Linked DNA regions of Stegostoma tigrinum. The main gene of each other region encodes a partner of the protein of the gene in region 2 in a complex. Links are inferred from orthologs where the notes say so. Each region holds a gene or a part of one and is shown on either strand. Other genes may lie near its edges.

What was found. Proteins that work in one complex are often made in the same cells at the same time.
Region 1: chtopa (region 2) and thoc5 share a complex: the UniProt entries of both Homo sapiens proteins name them as parts of the transcription/export (TREX) complex. The link is inferred for Stegostoma tigrinum from reciprocal best matches to the Homo sapiens genes CHTOP and THOC5.
Region 3: chtopa (region 2) and sarnp share a complex: the UniProt entries of both Homo sapiens proteins name them as parts of the transcription/export (TREX) complex. The link is inferred for Stegostoma tigrinum from reciprocal best matches to the Homo sapiens genes CHTOP and SARNP.

Annotation. Positions count from the first base shown.
Region 1 is NC_081379.1:20,913,913-20,921,043, forward strand, and holds the start of thoc5 (THO complex subunit 5 homolog), read left to right. Parts: upstream 1-4,083; 5' UTR 4,084-4,159; coding exon 4,160-4,261; intron 4,262-4,842; coding exon 4,843-4,986; intron 4,987-7,131. UniProt on the Homo sapiens protein: Component of the THO subcomplex of the TREX complex which is thought to couple mRNA transcription, processing and nuclear export, and which specifically associates with spliced mRNA and not with unspliced pre-mRNA.
Region 2 is NC_081400.1:101,197-108,420, forward strand, and holds the start of chtopa (chromatin target of PRMT1a), read left to right. Parts: upstream 1-4,185; 5' UTR 4,186-4,549; coding exon 4,550-4,607; intron 4,608-7,224. Other genes in the region: gba1 (lysosomal acid glucosylceramidase), read right to left, coding at 992-1,183, 3,535-3,595. UniProt on the Homo sapiens protein: Plays an important role in the ligand-dependent activation of estrogen receptor target genes. May play a role in the silencing of fetal globin genes.
Region 3 is NC_081404.1:18,537,273-18,544,908, reverse strand, and holds the start of sarnp (SAP domain-containing ribonucleoprotein), read right to left. Parts: upstream 3,049-7,636; 5' UTR 2,950-3,048; coding exon 2,911-2,949; intron 1,344-2,910; coding exon 1,244-1,343; intron 1-1,243. UniProt on the Homo sapiens protein: Binds both single-stranded and double-stranded DNA with higher affinity for the single-stranded form. Specifically binds to scaffold/matrix attachment region DNA. Also binds single-stranded RNA. Enhances RNA unwinding activity of DDX39A.

The sequences.
Region 1 (7,131 bases), on a different chromosome or scaffold from region 2:
TGAAAGTGTTATTCACTCCTAAATACTTCACTATCACATCCTTTATAATGGGCTGTAATACTTTCTCAATTACAGATGTTAAGTTAACTGGCTTCTAGTTACACTTTTTTTTTGTCTCCTTTCCCTTCTAAAAAAAAGTGATACAATGGCAGTTTTTGATTCCTCTGCAACTTTTCCAGAATTTTAATGCTTTTTCATAGATTACTACCAGTGCATCAACTATCTCTGCACCTACTTCCTTTACCATTCTAGGAGGTAACCCATCAGATTCAGGGGACATATCAGCCTTTAGCCCCATTAATGTCCATAGACCTTTTCTTGAGTAATGATAGTTAATGTATTTATATCTTCTCCTCCCTCTGACCTTGATTATTTAGTACTTTTGTAATACAATTAGTCTCTTCTGCTGTGAAGACTTATACAAATTATTTAATCGACTCCTTTGCTACTCTTTGGTTCATGTTATTTCCCGAGCCTCATTCTCTAAGGAACAAATGTTCATCCAGTTATAGAGCCACACAGCATGGAAACAGACCCTTTGGTCTAACCAGTGCACATGTCCCAACATGTCCCCAAACTAATCTAGACCCACCCATCTATGCTTGGCCCATATCCCTCCAAACCTTTCCTACTCATGAACTCATCCAAAAGTATGTTAAACATTGTAACTGTACTTGTATCCACCACTGGCAGTTCATTCCACACACAAACCACTATCTGTGTAAAAAAGTTACACCTCATGTCCATTTTTAAATCCTTCTCCTCTCATCTTAAAAATATGTCCCTTAGTTTTGAACTCCCCCACCCGTGGAAAAGACCCTTGTCATTCACCTTATCAATGTGCCTCATGATTTGTAAACCTCAATAAGGTCACCATTTTGGCTTTTCACTTCCTTCTTATACATTTAAAGAAGCTCTTATGATCTGTTTTGACATTACATGCTAGTTTACCTCCAAAGCTTATTTTGTCTCTCATTTGTTCTTGATCATCTTTGTTGGTAATTAAAACCTAACCAATCCTCTAATTTCCCACTAATCCTTACCACATTGTAGCTTTTAAATCTGAAATTACCCTTTATTGGTTAACTACTTATTATTAGGTACAATACAGTATAATTGGCTCCACCATGAGCAATTGATGCGGTCTTTACATATTAAGTAGTTAAGTTCTTTTGTTAGCTTTGTGTCAAGCTCACCCCTTGTTCCTACTGCTGAAATCCTCATTCATATTTTGGTTAGCTGTTGCCCGTGTGTTAAATCAAACAAAATCCTTTTGCTTGCTGACCTACATTAGCTCCTTGTCAAAGAACATTGTTTGTAAAATTATAATCCTTGCCTTCAATTCCTCCATGGCCTCTGTAATCTCCTCCAGCCATACAATCTTTCAAGTTATCTGCACTCACCTAAATGCAGCTTCTTGACCATCCCCAATTCTAATTGCTTCACGGTTGTGGCTACACTTCAGACACCTCAGGCCTGTTGTATGAAATTTTCACTCTCTGCCTTGAAAACTCCCTTAAAACCTATCTCTTTGATCAAGGTTTTGTTTGTTTCATTTAATGTAGTTATGTATCATACTCTGAATTATACTTATCCATTGAACAGCCTTGGCACATTTTATCATTAGAGGTGCTAGATAAATGTAAGTAGTCAATGTCAAAAGTAATATTAACATTGTATACTTCACAGAGGATAATCAAACGTCCCAAATTTTATGCTTCTTCCCTATATTCCAGGCAATTGTCCTGTGTCTGAGGTTGATTGCTATCAATTTGGATCCAATTCAGTGGTTGAGACATAAAACCCAGAATAACTTTATTTTTGTTTAATCAGCCTGCTTAAACATGTAATGGCATAGTTCCTTAGGTAGGATGTGAACTCAGAGTTTCTGACCGCAAGGTAACCACTGTGGCACATTATCACTGCACTACAAGTGGCACGTGGTCTTCTTGTTGCTCCCCTTTTAAGTAAAAACTGACAGTGCTGGGGAAACTCATAAGGTCTGCCTGGATCTGCAGACAGACAATGAGAGTTCGAGTATCAATTCTGATGTGATTCTTCAGCAGAACTCTTCAGGCCCTCTTTTAAACATTTGCAGAACCCAGCCCCCACCCACTCCCACAGGATGTCCACGTTCTTCAAGGACCGCAACTTTCCCCCCCACAGTGGTCGAGAACACCCTTGACCACGTCTCCTGTATTTCCCGCAACACATCCCTCACACCCCACCCCCACAACAACCGCCCCAAGAGGATTCCCCTCGTTCTCACATACCACCCCACCAAACTCCGGATACAACGCATCGTCCTCCGACACTTCCACCATCTACAATCTGACCCCACCACCCAAGACATTTTTCCATCCCCACCCTTGTCTGCCTTCCGGAGAGACCACTCTCTCCGTGACTCCCTTGTCCGCTCCACACTCCCCTCCAACCCCACCACACCCGGCATCTTCCCCTGCAACCGCAGGAAGTGCTACACTTGCCCCCACACCTCACCCACATCCCAGGTCCCAAGATGACCTTCCACATTAAGCAGATGTCCACCTGCACATCTGCCAATGTGGTTTACTGTATCCATGGTACCCGGTGTGGCTTCCTCTACATTGGAGAAACCAAGCAGAGGCTTGGGGACCGCTTTGCAGAACACCTCCGCTCGGTTCACAATAAACAACCGCACCTCCCAGTCGCCAACCATTTTAACTCCCCCTCCCATTCCTCAGACGACATGTCCATAATGGGCCTCCTGCAGTGCCACAATGATGCCACCCGAAGGTTGCAAGAACAGCAACTCATATTCTGCTTGGGAACCCTGCAGCCCAATGGTATCAATGTGGACTTCACAAGCTTCAAAATCTCCCCTTCCCCCACTGCATCCCAAAACCAGGCCAGTTCTTCCCCTCCCCCCACCGCATCACAAAACCAGCCCAGCTCGTCCCCTCCACCCACTGCATCCCAAAACCAGTCCAGCCTGTCTCCGCTTCCCTAACCTGCTCTTCCTCTCACCCATCCCTTCCTCCCACCTCAAGCCGCACCTCCATTTCCTACCTACTAACCTTATCCCGCCTCCTTGACCTGTCCCCTCTCCACCTATCTTCTTTTCTCTCCATCTTCGGTCCTCCTCCCCCTCTCTCCCTATTTATTTCAGAACCCTCTCCCCATCCCCCTTTTCTGATGAAGGGTCTAGGCCCGAAACGTCAGCTTTTGTGCTCCTAAGATGCTGCTCGGCCTGCTGTGTTCATCCAGCCTCACATTTTGTTGTCTTATGCCTGAATATCACTTGGCTTTACTCTACTTCATAAGGAATCACACATGCAGGTTTTTCTTTTAGTTTCCTTTTATGAAGTGAATAATGTCGTTCTGAAAAAGGGTCAACTGGACCCGAAACCTTTCCTGCCTTATCTCCGTAGATGCTACCCGACCTACTGTGTTTCTCCAGCAATTACAGTAAACTGTGTGCAGAGTCTAACTTCTGAGTTTTACCTGCTATTGAAAAATTGGTATAATTAAAAATGTATGGTAGTTCATTAAAATTAATGCCAGTGGTTACTTTAACAGTTTATTCTTCCAGAGATTTTGCACTTGTTAAAAGGAATCCTAATCCCAGTGAGTGAACCAAAGTCAGTAACTGTATTTTTCCAGTGCGTAAGAGTCACACAAAACAAAGAAAAACTACACGCAATTCCTGACACTGTCCAGAAATACAATTTTATCCCTTGTACGCTGCTGATTAGTTTACCTCAATCGCCCTCAACAGGCAGGGAGGACTCTTCCCTCACTGCGAAAACAGCGCCCCCGGCAGTTGGGGAGGATTCCATTCCATCCATTGGTGCAGAAACAGCGCCCCCGGCAGTTGGGGAGGATTCCATTCCATCCATTGGTGCAGAAACAGCGCCCCCGGCAGTTGGGGAGGATTCCATTACATCCATTGGTGCAGAAACAGCGCCCCCGGCAGTTGGGGAGGATTCCATTCCATCCATTGGTGCAGAAACAGCGCCCCCGGCAGGTGGGGAGGGTCCCATTTCGTCCATTGGTGCAGAAACAGCGCCCCCGGCAGGTGAGGAGGTATAGTTTTCCCATTTCTTCCGCCTGGACCCCCGCCTCTCCTGTGGAAAGAGTTTCTCGGTCACTGTCCGATTGCTGGGGCCGGAAAGTTGTAATGTCCGCTGATTCGGCGAAGAAGCGAAAAACCAAAGTGATTCGGAGTGATGGCGGAACGGTGGAGAAGGAGAGCAGAAAGGCTCGGGGTGATGGAGACCAGGTGGGGAGAGGCTGAATCCGATGAGGCTAGGGTGCCGAGGCCTAGCCCGGCCCGACCTGTCCAGGCCAACACATTGAGCTGTTTGTTCACATACAATAAGCAGAAGGGGAGCCTAATCCCTCCTGACAGATACCTTGTTCCCCTGTGTAGGAATGACTGAACGTGAAGGGATATGAGAGCGCGAACATTTTATTTTATTGGACTTTTACCCGAAATTTCTGTTGAAACTGGTTGTGTTTGGGCTAAAGAGTATCTCAGTATCCTGTTGTCCTTTGAAAGTTGAAGTTAAAAGATAAATCTCCGCATCTGGAATTTTTTTTAATTTTAGGAGATATAATTTCAGTCTCGAGTGCTGGTATAATCAGCTGAACCGGACTAAAGTTGATTCAGTGTTTGAGCAGAAACCACAAATTTAAGAATCCTTCCTGATGTTATGTCCAACCCTTTCACATTTTATAATTCCTATTTGGCAATGTCACTTATTTAGCCACCTCAATGTACATCAGTAGTCATTATCAGTTACTGTTAATTGTTTGTAATTTCTATAAAACTGTAAAATACATGTATGTGTTCTTTATTAGGAGAGTAAAGTTTATAGTGAAGAGGCGGAAGTGGAGACACGAGACCCTGCTAAAGACTATGATATGTACAAGAAAACCTGTGAGGATCTCCAAAGGTTGATGGCTGAGATTCATGAATTAAAGAGTAAAGGAGGAAAAGATGCTGTAAGTGGCACTGAATTTATTTAAGTGAAAAAAAATCAAACACTGTGCTGAAAATCTCAGCTGAAAGTAGAAATTACTGGAAATTCTAAATCTGGAGTAGCTATGGTTAGAAGAAGAGAGGTAATGTTTCAGGCTGATAATCTTTCACCAGAGTTGATAGATCATTGAGCTGAAATGTCAACTCTTCCCTCAATTCAAGGATGCTGCCAGACTGCTGAGTATGTACAGCATGTTCTGTTTTTATTTACATTTTAATCTTTTTCCCCAGGTAAGTAGCAAGAGCAGTGAATCGCACATTCACGTCTATATTGTTTTTAAAACTTACTATAATTCAATTTGGTAGTCTAATATAGTTCCTAACTGGCCTTAGATGTTAAAACTAGACGGGCTGTAAAGGAATGAGAAGGCAGGTCAGTAAAGGCGGCACGGTGGCTCAGTGGTTAGCACTGCAGCCTCACAGCGCCGGGATCCGTGTTCGATTCCAGCTTCGGGTAACTGTCTGTGCAGAGTTTGCACATTCTCCCCGTGTCTGCATGGGTTTCCTCCGGGTGCTCCGGTTTCCTCCCACAATCCAAAGACATGCAAGCTAGGTGGATCGGCCATGTTAAATTTCCCGTAGTGTTAAGGGGTGTGTGGGTTATAGGGGGATGGGTCTGGGTGGGATGCTCCAAGGGGCGGTGTGGACTTGTTGGGCCAAAGGGCCTGTTTCCACACTGTAGGGAATCTAATCTAATCTAAAGGGTTGGGTATTTAACACCTGATGCTTGCTGAACTGCTGCTGGAAGAAATTTTAAGAACTATGGACATAATACAGAATAGTATTGTATGTATTTTTTGGATGTCATAATTTTGCTTCTGTGTTTTTATCTGTAAATAAAAATTGAATAATGGTGTAACAGAGTGATGTGGCCTGCTGTCAGAAGAGATAGTAAAATGAAGGAAATGTCTTGGGTATTTTCTCATGGTAAGCTGACTCCTTGAACCACTGCAGTTCCTCTGATACAGATATAGCTGCAGAGCTGTTGGAGAAGCAGTTCCAGGATGTTGACCCAGCAAAAGAATGATAAGGTATTGCAGCAGGTGTATGCCATATGGCCTATTGAGTCTGATCTGCATCGACTATATGAACTAGGCACAAGAATAGGCTACAGATCCTGCTCTACCATTCGATAAGGTTATGGCTGATCTAATTTTAACCTCAACTTTGCATTCTTGCATACCCTGGATAATCCTTCTTTCCCTTGGTAATCAATCTGCCATTCGATGAGATCATGGCAGAGCTGCCACTCCTGAACTGCACTTCCCCCATAACCCTTGATTCCCTTACTGATTAAAATTTTGTCTATCTCTGCTTTGCACATTCTTAACAACCTAGCCTCTGTGGTAAAGAATACCACAGATTAAACATTTTCTGAGAGAAAAGATTTCTTCACATCTCTGTCCTAAATGAGCAGCCCCTTGCTCTGACATTATGAGCAATGATATTTTTCTGGAGCAGCGATGTGTTTCCAAAACATCATGGTGAGTGATTTGGAAGATAATCTGTAAGTGGTGATGTTTCCATGTATCTGCTGTCCCGGTTTCTAAATGTTCAAGGTTGTAGGTTTGGAGACAAATGCTGTTAAAGGAGTGTTGATTTGCTGCAGTGCACCTTGTAAATAGTATACATTGCTTTCACTGCACATCGTTGGTGGAGGGAGTGATTGTCTAAGGTATTAACAGTGGTGTCAGTCAAGTAGGCTGCTTTGTCCTGGATGATGTTAAGCTTCTTGAGTGTTGTTGGAGCAGCACCATTTCAGGCAAATGGTGTCCTTTGAGAGTTTTCATTTATACCTTGTGCACGATGACAGACATTGGGGAGACAGATGGGTTACTTGTTGCAGAATTCCCTGTTCTCATAGCCACAATATAAACATTGATGGCAGGTCCAGTTCAGCATGTGGGCCTTGGTAACCCTCTGGATACTCGTAACCTACAAACCTTTGACTCAGCGATGACAATGTGGCTAACTGTGCCATGTTCACACTTTGAGGAGCTGTTAGCTGAAGATGTAAATGAAAATTAATCAAATATAATTGAAAAATCAGTAATAGGAAGAACTTCTTTATATAATTTGAGCTGACTTAATTGGGACAAAAATATTAG
Region 2 (7,224 bases):
GTGCAGTTGTTTATTGCGAACCAAGCGGAGGTGTTCTGCAAAGTGGTCCCCAAGCCTCCGCTTGGTTTCCCCAATGTAGAGGAGGCCACACCGGGTACAGTGGATACAGTATACCACATTGGTAGATGTGCAGGTGAGCCTCTGCTTAATATGGAAAGTCATCTTGGGGCCTGGGATAGGGGTGAGGGAGGAGGTGTGGGGGCAAGTGTAGCATTTCCTGCGGTTGCAGGGGAAGGTGCCGGGTGTGGTGGGGTTTGAGGGCAACGTGGAGCGAACAAGGGAGTCACGGAGAGAGTGGTCTCTCCGGAAAGCAGACAAGGGTGGGGATGGATAAATGTCTTGGGTGGTGGGGTCGGATTGTAGATGGCGGAAGTGTCGGAGGATGATGCGTTGTATCCGGAGGTTGGTGGGGTGGTGTGTGAAAACGAGGGGGATCCTCTTTGGGCGGTTGTGGCGGGGGCGGGGTGTGAGGGATGTGTTGCGGGAGACGCGGTCAAGGGCGTTCTCGACCACTGCGGTCCTTGAAGAACTTGGACATCTGGGATGTGCGGGAGTGAAATGCCTTATCGTGGGAGCAGATGTGGCGAAGGAATTGGAAATAGGGATGGAATTTTTGCAGGAGGGTGGGTGGGAGGAGGTGTATTCTAGGTAGCTGTTTTTGGTCTCCAAGTCCCAGGTTCAAATTGATTGGCTAAATTAAAAATCTTGTTGTCTTGATAAACTGCTGCTTGGCCTGCTAACTGTGTAGCTTTTCAATACAAATGTTTCATGTTGGGAGCTGTCTATGTACTTGCAAACTTTTGAGCTGCTGCTCACAGACATTCCTTTTAAAGTACTAAGCATAGGAAAAGCACATGATCTTTTAAAGGGACCACTCCATGCTTTTCCCTCTAGCATTTTACAAATACCAAATTCTAACTTCATGCCTGCTAATCCTCAAGTACTCCACCCAACTTCGCAACACATGATAAGCAGCAACTGCAAACCTTACCTTGTTGTTTGGTGTTTGTGAGGATTTTTCCTGTTTTGTGTTCAAGCCGCTTACCAGCTTTAGTGGTTTCATACAAAACATAATGGCCTTTCTTTGGCAACCGCAGTGGATCAACTGTATCGCAGTATGTCGCATTGCAAATACAAACCACCGAGCTACCCCCAAAACTCCTGGCATCACATGGTTTACCAGCTGAAAAGAGAAGCAAAAACTGTTAAAACAATATCAGAGATAATGGGAACTGCAGATGCTGGAGAATTCCAAGATAATAAAATGTGAGGCTGGATAACACAGCAGGCCAAGCAGCATCTCAGGAGCACAAAAGCTTATCAGAGATAATGGGAACTGCAGATGCTGGAGAATTCCAAGATAATAAAATGTGAGGCTGGATTTTCAGAGATAATGGGAACTGCAGATTTGTGCTCCTGAGATGCTGCTTGTGTTCATCCAGCCTCACATTTTATTAACTGTTAAAACAATGCTGTGTGGGGAACTGGACGAACACAGCAGGCTAAACAGCATCAGAGGAGCAGGATGGCTGACGTTTCGGGCCAAGACCCTTCCTGCTCCTCTGATGCTGTTTAGCCTGCTGTGTTCGTCGAGCTCTATACCTTGTTATCTCAGATTCTCCAGCATCTGCAGTTCCTGCTATCTCCAGAACAATACTCTGACCCATTTTCATCCCTTCTTACACTTTGAAGGTGCTAACTTTCACTGAGGTAATGTTCCAGGCACTGGTGACACTTTGGTACATGATTCAAATAGTAATTTATCAGATGAGATTTAACAGATTTTACAATTATAATTGACAACGGGTATATTTCAAAACCTCACTTAGAGCCTTGGGTTGAAACTTGTAGAAAACAGGAAAATGTGACAGTGATCCAATAGGGAGTATCCTTGAAAAAAAATGAACTACAAACAGGAGTAGACCAACAAGCCCAATCCACTATTCACGCAGATGCAAGTGACTTGGACAGGCTAGGTGAGTGGACGGATGCATGGGAGATGCACTTTAATGTGGATAAATGTGTGGCTATACACTTTGGTGGCAAGAACAGGAAGGCAGATTACTATCTCAATGGAGTCAAGTTAGGTAAAGGGGAAACACGAGATCTAGGTGTTCTTGTACATCAGTCAATGAAAGCAAGCAAGCAGGTACAGCAGGCAGTGAAGAAAGCTAATAGCATGCTGGCCTTCATAACAAGAGGAATTGAGTACAGGGGCAAAGAGGTCCTTCGGCAGCTGTACAGGGCCCTGGTGAGACCACACCTGGAGCATTGTGTGCAGTTTCGGTCTCCAAATTTGAGGAAGGACAGTCTTGCTATTTGAGGGAGTGCAGCGTAGGTTCACGAGGCCAATTCCCGGAATGGTGGGACTATCATACGTTGAAAGATTGGAGTGACTGGCCTCGTATACTCTTGAGTTTAGAAGGATGAGAGGGGATCTGTTTGAGGTGTATAAGATTATTAAGGGATTGGACACTCTGGAGGCAGGAAGCATGTTTCCGCTGATGGGTGAGTCCAGAACCAGAGGACACAGTTTAAAAATAAGGGGTAGGCCATTTAGAACAGAGTTGAGGAAAAACTTCTTCACCCAGAGAGTGGTGGATATATGGAATGCTCTGCCCCAGAAGGCAGTGGAGGCCAACTCTCTGGATACTTTCAAGAAAGAGATGGATAGAGCTCTTAAAGATAGTGGAATCAAGGATTATGGGGATAAGGCAGGAACAGGATATTGATTGTGGATGATCATCCACGATCATAGGGCAGAATGGCCTACTCCTGCACCTATTACCTATTGTCTGATCTGATTACTCCACATTCCCACCAATCATGATAAATTTTCACATTTGCTCGACAGGAATCTATTGACATCTGCCTCAAAAATATTCAACACCTTTTGAGGGAGAACTTTAATAACTCTCAATACTCTGAGAAAAAAAAATTGTCTCTTCTCCCATCGTCCTAGATTCTTTGGAATAGGAAACATCCTCTCCACAAACACCCTTTCAAGACTCCTCAGCATCTCCCAATGATGTCTGATCTCCTGGATGAAAAGCTATCCCATATGGTTTATCTGACTGCTAGGAACAGGTTCAGGCGTGTGCAGACTGGGAAATGAGCACAAGATCATGTAACGTGCAGGATCTGCCAGCCCAGAGCAGAAGATATAATGACAATTTCTGAAAATCTGTTCATATAGGTTATGGCCATTTTCAGGTCCTGTACTGCTGAGAAATTCTGCATTCCTATTAGATCAGGTCAGATGCAACAAGTCCACAGGTTTCAATCCTCAGTATTTAATGCAATTTTTGATGCCAAGATGGATTTGGCATTGTGAACTAACATCCCAGTGAAACTAACCCTAACCCAAAGTGAGTTGGACCTACACCAGTCTACAGGAGCAGCTGAGCAGGCTAGTTTAAAAGAAACAACCTGTTTCTTGCAGACTGTTTCCAATCTGGTTGCTGAACAAGACTCAGTGCCTGCACTAATCTGTGAAACATAACTCTCAGCTCCACTTACATTACAATTCCTCACCTGAGACTGGAAGGATTGTCCAGAAAGGCAGAAAACACAAACAGAACCAAACTGTGGACATCCTGGAGGAGGAAACTGCTCCAGTTTCTCCTTGTTAGTTTCTTCAATACCTTGCTGTATCCTAATTGAACAAAAAGATACAGGGAAAAATGTTAAATATATAATCCAAATCCAGGTCTTTGATTATGTTTAATACAGAGATAGCTGGACTCTTGTTAGTAATGGGAACAAGGGTTATGATGAAAGGGCAGGAGAATAGGGTTGAGTTACATATCAGCCATGATTGAATGGTGGAGCAGACTCGACGGATGTCTTAACGGTGTAAAACTACTGTTATGGTTTTACAGTGTACAGCCAGGCATAAGGAACTACCAGGAGTAAGACTGGGCAATGTTTAGATTGACTATCCTTCATTCCTGAGTGGACTGGTAGCATTTGTTGTAAATATCACCAGGTTATTGCCCTAAAGCGTGATCTAAAAGCTTTCAGAGTGCAGTGCCTGAGCCAGTGGTGTTCTGTCAGAAGTGGCAGACTGAGGCGGCGCAGCGTAGTCAGAGGATCAGTACTGAGCAATGGGCGCCCTCAGCGCTGACCCCTCCCCTCCCCTCCCCTCCCCGACAGCGCCCGCTCCCTCGGCGCTGACCCCCCGCCGACAGCGCCCGCTCCCTCGGCGCTGTGTCTAACATTAGAACCAGTAGGAACTGCCGATGCTGGAGAATCCGAGGTAACAAGGTGTAGAGCTGGATGAACACAACAGGCCAAGCAGCATCAGAGGAGCAGGAAGGCTGACGTTTCGGGCCGAGACATCAGCTTGCCTGCTGTGTTCATCCAGCTTCCCACCGCCTCTAACATAATCGGAGCGAGACGAACCCTTCATCAGCGAGAGCCAGCCCGCCATCCCACGTGACCAAACACGGCATCACGTCCCCCACGTGACCGAGTCTGTTCGCCGCCGCTGCCTCCCACGTGATCCCCCCTCTTGCCCAGGACTGGCACTGATTTCTGTCTTGGCCGCATGGATTCTGCTGTTCAGCTCCGCCAGCGGCAGTATGGCTCGGCTCTGCCAGTACCAGGTAAGGGGCTAAGGCCGCCTGCTGTAACTCATCTCTCCTGTGGGTCTTTCGTCCCTGGCTGACGATGCTCAGGGTGCTTCGGCCTGTAGCGGTGGACTCCGCCTGGTGAAAGCCGCCCTCAATTCCAGGCCCGTATCGAGGGTTCGGGGGATGGGGGTGGACTTGCTGGCTGGGCCTGTGTTTATTGGCCTCTCTAACTGCTCCTTGCGGAAGTGCGCTAGATGTTGTCTGTTGTAATATCGGCACTCTGACAGGAAGCACCGAGGAGCTGATCGTGTTAAATAGTGCAAGGCTGCAGGAAGATAAAACACAGGGCTGAGTGCAGGGAATCCTTGTGAATGAATCTCAAAAAAATTTAACTTAGAACATTGGAGGATGGCAATTTAAGTCTAGCGAGACCCCTCCACCGTTCAATACAGTCATGGTTGAATTTCTCCTTTGCTTCATAACGCATTATCCTATTACTTATTCTGAGTAATACAGTTCTGAGGAAGGGTCCCCGGAACCGAAACATTAACAGCTTATTTTTTCTCTCCACGGATTGTGCCAGACCTGCTGAGCTTTTCCGGCAACTTCTGTTTTTGTTCCTGATTCGCAGCATCTGCAGTTCTTTCGGTTTCCAGTTAAAAATCTTTCTGCCTTCTCCTTAAAGTACTCAGTGACCTGGCATCCGATGCACTCCCCGTGACCGAATTCCATAGATCCGCCACCTCAAAAACAAATGAATAACCGTTGTAGGCGCAGCATAGATCTATTTGTGTGCTAAACACCATGTTAATACAGGTCTTAAAAACTGAAGAACTGTGGATGTTGTAAATCAGAAACAAAACCAGAAATTACAGGAAAACCTCAGCAGGTCTGGCAGCATCTGTAGAGTGAAATCAGAGTTAACGCTTCCGGCTCAGTGACTCTTTTTCAAAACATTTTTCAAAACTTATCTAAGCAATTGAGGCCATCCAGAGAAGTTCACTAGACTGATGTGAGGTCTGAAGCACTTTGTTATGAGAAGAAGTTGAGTAGACTAGCCCCAATGTGACCTTATTAGGATAGATGTGGAAAGGTTGTCTCCTCTTGACCAAATGTGTGATCCCTTATTCTGAGATCATACCATTTAAGAGAGAAATGAAGGGGAATTTCTTGAGAATTGTGAATCTGTGGAATTCCTCCCCACAAAGGCTATTGAGGCTGGATCATTAAGCATATTTGAGATTGAGGTTGACAGATTTTTAATTGGTAAGGGAATAGAGAGTTTGTGGGTGAAGAAAGCAGAAAAGTGGAGTTGTGGATTAACAGATCAGCCGTGATTTCATTGAATGGTAGAACAGAACTCTGGACTGAATGACCTACTTGTCTTCTAGTCTTACCTAACTCTCATATCACCTTATGAGTTAAGGGCGAACAGATTTCTTGAATTGCTGTAGGTAGGCTTTCAATGTGGTTAAGGATTTTGACCCAGTATCACTGAAGGAATGGGAATATATTTCCATATCAGCATGGTGGGTGAACTTGCTCGTGGTGCTCCCATGTGTCTGCTGCCCTTGTCATTCCACATGGAAGCAGTTGTGGGTTTGAAACCAGTTATGTTATACGAGGATCATATCTGTTATTTGTAATATTTGTAAATGATCTGGGTGGACATGTAGGTGGTCTGATTGCTAAGCTTGTAGACAACATGAAAATTAGTTGAGTTGTGAAAAGTAAGGAACGTTGTCAAACGATACAGCATTTCTGAAGAAGGTTCTCAGCCCAAAAGTCAGCATTCCTGCTCCTCTGCTGCTTGGCCTGCTGTGTTCATCCAGCTCTATACCTTGTTATCACAGCACAATATAGGTCAGTTGAAAAGTTGAGTGGAGTGATGGCAGATGGATTTGAACCTGGTCAAATGAATTGATACATTCTGAGAGGTCAAATGCAAGACGACAGTATACAGTAAATGGCAAGATCCTTGGGAGCATTGATATACAGAGGGATCTTGGGGTGCAAATCCATAACTCCCTGAAAGGGGCAACACAAGGGCCTCAGTAAGATAACAAGGTGTAGAGCTGGATGAACACAGCAGGCCGAGCAGGAAGGCTGATGTTTTGGGCCCGAAACGTCAGCCTTCCTGCTCCTCTGATTCTGCTTGGCCTGCTGTGTTCATCCAGCTCTACACCTTGTTATCACAGATTCTTCAGCATCTGCAGTTCCTATTATCTCTGCCTCAGTAAGAGTATGGCATGCTCCAGAAGATTATGGGCCAAATGCAGGCAAATGGGGCTACTTTAGTTTAGGATACCTGGTCAGCGTGGATGAGATGGACCGAAGAGTCTGTTTCTGTTCTGTATGACTATGCTTTCTAAGGATCTTTGGTGATTTACTTTAGTGCATCAATGCACTACTGAGTATTGGGGGGTGGAGGCAATGATTGTTTCTGGCTGTGGTGCCAATTAAGCAGGCTGCTTTGCCCTGGATGATGTCAGTTTCTTGAGTGTTACCTTTATCCAGGCAAATGACAAGTGTTCCACCACACTCCTGACTTGTGCCTTATAAATGGTGGACTGGTTTTAGGAAGATGGGAAGTGAGTTCCTCACGTAATGTTCAGTGATGATGTGCCATTGAATGTCAAGTATTAGTTGC
Region 3 (7,636 bases), on a different chromosome or scaffold from region 2:
TAGCAAACTGAAGGTTAAACCAAAAAAAGTTTTAAAAAGCCTGTAAACCTGAATTATAAGTGGTAATTTTCAACAGAGATCAGGTACTGAAATTGCAGTCTAATCTGAATGCCTGGCACTACACGACACAAGGACAAGATGAATACAGTACAGGGAAGTATCTTGGCCTACTTTAGAACATTCTAAATAAGTGTGGAGGTATTTTCAATGAAAGTCTCCAACTGCTTCTACAAGTCAATTAATTTCAAAATATTTGCATTAACTATCATAAATGAATGCCAATTTGTGATGTCAATTATTATCGCAAAGTCCTAAACTTGCCTTTCACTCGTTTGATAGACAGAAGTGAACCACTTCCGTGGAATACGTAGATTTATTTAATCTACACACACAGTGCACCTATTTTGTTTCCAAAAACCTGAATCAGAGGGGGTGTGCACATTGCTCAAGGCGCAACTAGATACACATCTGCAAAAAAAAGTCAACTTCAAGTTGAAGGGAAAAGATAGCAATTAATCAGTTAACTACAGTAATTGTTGAAATTACAGCAAAACTAAAGCACAAAATTTAAGACTCTCAAAAAAGTGGTAATCAAATAACATAAGGATGCAACTCAAGCACTCTGATCAACTGACACAGGCTGGCGCTTTTCCCCCAGAGCACTGGCTGAGGTTTATAAAATCATGTGGGGCATAGATAGGGCAAATAGACAAGGTCTTTTTCCCAGGGTGGGGGAGTCTAAAACTACAGGGCATAGGTTTAAGGTGAGGGGAAAGATTTAAAAGGGACTGAAGAGGCAACAGAGGGTGGAGCATGGATGGAACAGGCTGCCACAAGAGGTGGAGGAGGCTGGAACAATTACAATATTTTAAAAAGACATCTGGGTGGGTATATGAATAGGAAATGTTTAAGCGGGGAATGGGCCAAATGCAAGCATATGGGACTAGATCAGTTTCGGATATCTGGTCATTGAGACAAGTTGAACCAAAGGACTTGTTTCTCTGCTGTATAATCTCTGACTCTCTAACAAAGACAATTACCTGTAATGGCAACTGTTTCATCCAGCACTCAGCTAATTTATTATTCTGAATTCTATGTAATAATTTGTAAAATACAATCTTAAATGTGCCAAAGTCAGCATATGTATGGTAATGAAAGAAATCCACAACTCTTCATAAATTCCTAAGTAATTTTATTTATTAAAAATAAATTGTTTGAGATTAAATATCCATCATGATTTTACCATGTTCTTCCAGGTAAGCCTGCAGTCTCTGGATGAGATCTTGCTTGTTTCCTTTAGTATCCAGCTCCCGTGAAGCACATTCTTGTCTCAGTTCAGTCAACTAAAGCACAATGAGAACAAACAAATAGTCAGAACCATGGAGGTTTTCAGTAAAGAAAGGATTCAGGAAATTGGAGTGGACTACATGGCTGGGTCAGCCTGCTTCATTCATTACAATGCGGTTGATCTTTGGCTTCAACTCCCTTTCCTGGTCGCTCCCCATTCCCTTGATTCCAAGGCATCAAAAATCCATCTATCCACAAACCTTCACAATCCTTCAAGTGAAGCAATTTCTCCTCAGCTAGCCCCAAGTAGTTACTCTCTTATCCAGAAAGTAAGCCACCATGTTTTTGGCTCCCCAATCAGTGAAAATAATCTGTCTACCCAGAGTCTACTCAGGATCTTGTACCTTTCAATGACAGCGCCTTTCATTCTTTTCAACTCTGGTAAACATTGCCCAAACTATTCAGTCTCAATACAGGACAATCCCCTCATCCCCATGACTGATTTAGTGAACCTTTGCTGTACTGCCTCTGCACACAAGTATAATCTCCCTTAAAAATGGAAATTAAACTGCACATACCTTGTTTCAAAACCATGTTCAATTAAAGCAAGGATTTGTTTGCTGCACTCCAATCCTCAAATAATAAAAGGACATGCCACTTGCATTCTTAATTGCTTGCTGTACATGCATTTCAACTTTCTACACTCCTTGTACAAATCAGCCCCACATTCTTTGAAAATCAACATGAATTTCACATCTTTCCTTTTCACATTTATGCTAGTTCTTAGCTGAATCAATCCAAAACCATTCCAGTAACTTCACTTTCTTCTCACAATCAGTTACCTATCCCAAAGTAATCCCAGTACTGTTCTCCTTATGGGAATTTAAAATTGACAACCCATCAATTGTGCAACGATAGGGTAGCCTTTTCTGACTCATAACACTAGGATCCAGTGCCAATTTAAAATAAAACTTTCAAAATGGCTCAAGTTCTTTGCTCCAATTTCTGCGTCCTGCGTTATAAATTTCCCCAACTTCTATGAGTGCGAATCTACAGAATTTTGCCTTCAATGTACATTTTAAGCACCCAGAAAGATGGTTTAGCAGTGGATCAAGCAACGGTTTGTGCAAGTTAGCTTTTATACAGCTTCCTTAGTTACAGCATTTTTAAAAAAAGACTGCTTTTCTTAAACGTTTCGTCCACTTGTTCAGATGTTCGTGGAGCCATAACCCATTTGAAATATCTTTAGAACGGAACAAACAGCCCCAGTTCAGACCAAATAACCGTGCGGGGGCACGGTTTCCTATTTCTATGTGATCCATGGGCGGTGCACTTAGTTAATCGGCCATTCCGGAAACTTATTCGTTTCCTTTCAATGTGACACTCAAAACACGTCCCACACGACTAAGCTGCTTAAAACGTTCGAAGAATGTTAGACTAGCACGGGGAGGAAAAAGCAACCCCACCTTCAAGAGGAGGGAAAATATAGCCCACTCTACGGGTCTCCAGAGGAGAATTTCTGAGCAGAATCGGAACAGAAAAAGTGAAGTACGTAATAGTCACTAAATCACAAAACCTTCGCTCTAACGGCGAACACATTATCCCTATCTAAACTCCCTTTACCTTCAATTTGCTGATATCCACCGCCGTTCTGTCCGCCATCTTGCCAGACTCTTACCCGCTCACCACCTATCCAATAGGCATCCGCCTTACTCACTGATCAACAAGCTACCTCACCATTGGCTCAAAAGAGACAGGGGTGGGTGTGTTCAATATGCCGTTACTATCGGAATAAGGAGAAAAAAGAAATAAATTAATACAGCAAAAACTTACAAATATATTGCCCAACGTTTAACAGCAAATACTAGTTAGATTGAAATTTTAAAATTATGCACAATTATGGTGAGAGCGATGACAATAAATCCTATGGAAAATTATCATACGCGACTCTTGCCAGTGAGTGGTTTGGTGGCCATCTTCATCGGAATAACCACCAGATATTCAGTAATCTTCAAGGATGAATATCAGAAAGGAGAGCTGTTTCTGCAATTGCTAATCCATTCATCTTTGTTTATTTGTGTCAATGAACAGAAAATTGTGGAAATGGCAAGCACAGAAAGGAAAACCTTTTACCAAACAGCCTGTCGTGTTTTTTTTGTAAAGATTGTACGTGTGCAGACCTGTTGTACATTTACGTTTGCAAGTGGACCAGTCTTGTGAGAACATTTGGCGATGTTTTTAATTGAGTTACCACTTCTGAACTGGATAAAAGTTTGAAGCTGAATTCTTAATGCATGAGTATCAGCACTTGGAACCTGTGGGCTTCGGAACGAAGCTTAATCTTGTCCTTATGTACTGTCCAAACCTATTCCCTACCACAGTTCACTGGAGAGTGATCAAAGGGAGCAACTCTGACTGATACCTCCCTCCGTTGCTTCGGGCTGGTGAGGCCAATTTTAACCCAGTACTTCGCTATCTGAGGTCAAACAACTCATTACAAGCTGGGGTTAATACTGGGACCATTTGGTCATAAGACCATAAGACACAGGAGTGGAAGTAAGGCCATTCGGCCCATCAAGTCCACTCCGCCATTTAATCATGGCTGATTTCAACTCCACTTCCCTGCACTCTCCCCGTAGCCCTTACTGCCTTATGAGATCAAGAATTTATCAATCTCTGCTTTAAAGACATTTAACATCCCGGCCTCCACTGCGCTCCATGGCATTGAATTCTACAGGCCCACCACTCTCTGGCTGAAGAAATGTTTCCTCATTTCCGTTCTAAATTGACCCCCTCTAATTCTAAGGCTGTGCCCATGGGTCCTAGTCTCCCCACCTAATGGAAACAACTTCCTAGCGTCCACCCTTTCTAAACCATACATTATCCTGTAAGTTTCTATTAGATCTCCCCTCAACCTTCTAAACTCCAATGAATACAATCCCAGGATCCTCAGCCATTCATTGTCCGTTAAACCTACCGTTCCAGGGATCATCCATGTGAATCTCTGCTGGACATGCTCCAGCGCCAGTATGTCCTTCCTGACATGTGGGGCCCAAAATTGGAACAAGTATTCTAAATGGGACCTAACTAGAGCTTTATAAAGTCTCAGAAGCACATCGCCGCTTTTATATTCCAACCCTCTTGAGATAAGTGACAATATTACATTCGCTTTCTTAATCACAGACTCAACCTGTAAGTTAACCTTTAGAGAATCCTGGACTAGCATTCCCAGATCCCTTTGTACTTCGGCTTTATGAATTTTCTCACCATTTAGAAAATAGTCAATGCCCGTATTCTTTTTTCCAAAGTACAACACCTCGCATTTGCTCACGTTGAATTTCATCAGCCATTTCCTGGACCACTCACCTAAACTGTCTAAATCTTCCTGCAGCCTCCCCACCTCCTCAGTACTACCTGCCTGTCCACCTAACTTCGTATCATTCGCAAACTTCGCCAGAATGTCCCCAGTCCCTTCATCCAGATCATTAATATATAAAGTGAACAGCTGCGGCCCCAACAATGAACCCTGAGGGACATCACTTGTTACCGGTTGCCATTCTGAAAAAGAGCCATTTACCTGAACTCTCTGCCTTCTGTCAGACAGCGAATCCTCAATCCATGCCAGTAGCTCACCTCAAACATCATGAGCCCTCACCTTACTCAGCAGCCTCCCGTGAGGCACCTTATCAAAGGCCTTTTGGAAGTCTAGATAGATAACATCTACTGGGTTTCCCTGGTCTAACCTACTTGTTACCTCTTCAAAGAATTCTAACAGGTTTGTCAGGCATGACCTCCCCTTACTAAATCCATGCTGACTTGTCTAATCTGACTCTGCATTTCCAGGAATTTAGAAATCTCATCCTTCACGATGGATTCTAGAATTTTACTAACAACCGAGGTTAGGCTAATCGGTCTGTAATTTTCCATCTTTTGCCTTGATCCTTTCTTAAACAAGGGGGTTACAACAGCAATTTTCCAATCATCTGGGACTTTCCCTGACTCCAGTGACTTTTGAAAGATCACAACCAACACCTCCGCTATTTCCTCAGCCACCTCCCTCAGAACCCGAGGATGTAGCCCATCGGGGCCAGGAGATTTATCAATTTTTAGACCTTTTAGCTTTTCTAGCACTTTCTCTTTTGTAATGCCTACCATACTCAACTCTTTCTGGGTGAAATTGGGGACACAGTACAGAGGTTCATCCCAAAGAAATGAAAGATTATCCGGCGGGGGTGGGGGGGAGATTAGACAGCCATGGCTGACAAAGGAAGTCAGGAAATATATCAAAGAAAAAGAGACAGCCTATAAAGTGGCCAAGAACACTGGGAAATCAGAAGATTGGGAAGGCTACAAAAACAAACAGAGGATAACAAAGAGAGCAATAAGGAAGGAGAGGATCAAATATGAAGGTAGGCTAGCTAGTAATATTAGAAATGATAGTAAAAGCTTCTTTCAATACATAAGAAACAAACGAGAGGCAAAAGTAGATATTGGGCCGCTCCAAACTGATGCTGGAAGGCTTGTGATGGGAGATAAGGAAATAGCTGAAGAACTTAATAAGTACTTTGCATCAGTCTTCACAGTGAAAGACATGAGTAGTATGCCAACAATTAAGGAGAGTCGGGGGCAGAGTTGAGTACGGTAGGCATTACAAAAGAGAAAGTGCTAGAAAAGCTAAAAGGTCTAAAAATTCATAAATCTCCTAGCCCTGATGGGCTACATCCTTGAGTTCTGGGGGAAGTGGCTGAATAAATAGAGGAGGCGTTGGTTGAGGAAGCCTGCTCCCTTGTGAGCTCCATCACAAGCTGTTCCAAAAAGCCATCCTGTAAGCATTCCATGAATTCCTTTTCTTTGGATCCACCAGCAACATTGTTGACCCAGTCCACCTGCATATAGAAGTCCCCCATGATCACCATGACCTTGCCTTTCTGACATGCCCTATCTATTTCCTGGTGCATCTTGTGCCCCTGGTCCTGATCACTGTTAGGAGGCCTGTACATAACTCCCATTATAGTTTTTTTGCCTTTGTGGTTCCTCAACTTCACCCACACAGACTCCACATCATATGACTCTATGTCATTCAGTGCCATAGATTTAATTTCATTCTTAACTAACAGGGCAACCCCGCCCCCTCTGCCCACCTCCCTGTCTTTTCAATAAGTTGTAAATCCTTGGATGTTTAACCGCCAGTCCTGAACTCCCTGCAAACACGTCTCTGTGATGCCTACCCATCATAATCATTCAAGATGATTTGTGCTGTTAATTCACCTACTTTGTTGCGAATACTACAAGCATTTAGGTAAAGTGCCTTAATGCAAACTTTCTTATCATTACTAGAGATATTTAAGTGGTACCTTTATGCATTTTCTCACAAAACCATTGGAGAGCTACTGTATTAAATGCTAAAACTGTAAGTGGCAGCTGTCCTAGCTGATCTTAGCCAATTTCCCTGCACTGGGGAGGAGGAAAATCAGAGAGGATTCTGGTTTCTAATGCCACAATGCCTGACATATTGTAATTTCACCTCAGAATAGATGTAGTATATTGTGAACTTCTCAATGTGGTTGCTGCCCAATGTCAGCCTTGACTCAGTACACTCTCACCTGTGTCAGGAGGTTGTCAATTTAAGCTTCACATGAATGCATGGCTCGCTGCAGTATTGAAGCTGCTGTCTTTCAATGTCCTATCTGCCCACTTAGGTGATCATAAAAGATCCCTTGGTACTAATATAAAGAACTAGAGAGTTCCCCTGATGTCCTCATTAAATATTTATCCTCAAATCAACATCTGCTGGATATTTGTGAGCCTTTACTGTGCAATTTAGCTGTTGTGTTTACAACGTTACAGCAATGACTACACGTCAAGAATATTTAATTGGCCGTGAAGTACTTTGGAATGACCTGTGTATACAAAAAGCACTTTATAAATGCGAGTGCTTTTTGTTGTGTTTCATTGGCTATAAGAGCAGGCCTGAAGCTAGGAATACTGCAGCAAGTAACTCACCTCCTGTCTCCTCAAAGTCTGTCCACCATCTACAAGGCACAAGTCAGGAGTGTGATGGAATACTCCCCGCTTGCCTAGATGGGTGCAGCCCAAACAACACTCAAGAAGCTCAACACCATCCAGGATAAAGCAGCCCACTTGATTGGCACTACATTCACAAACATCCATTCCCTCCACCACCGACACTCAGTCGCAGCAGTGTGTACTATCTACAAGATGTGCTGCAGAAATTCACCAAAGATCCTCAGACATCCCCAAACCTATGACCACTTCCATCTAGAAGAACAAAGACATCAGACATATGGGAACACCACCACCTCCAAGTTCTCCGACGCGCCTCTCACAA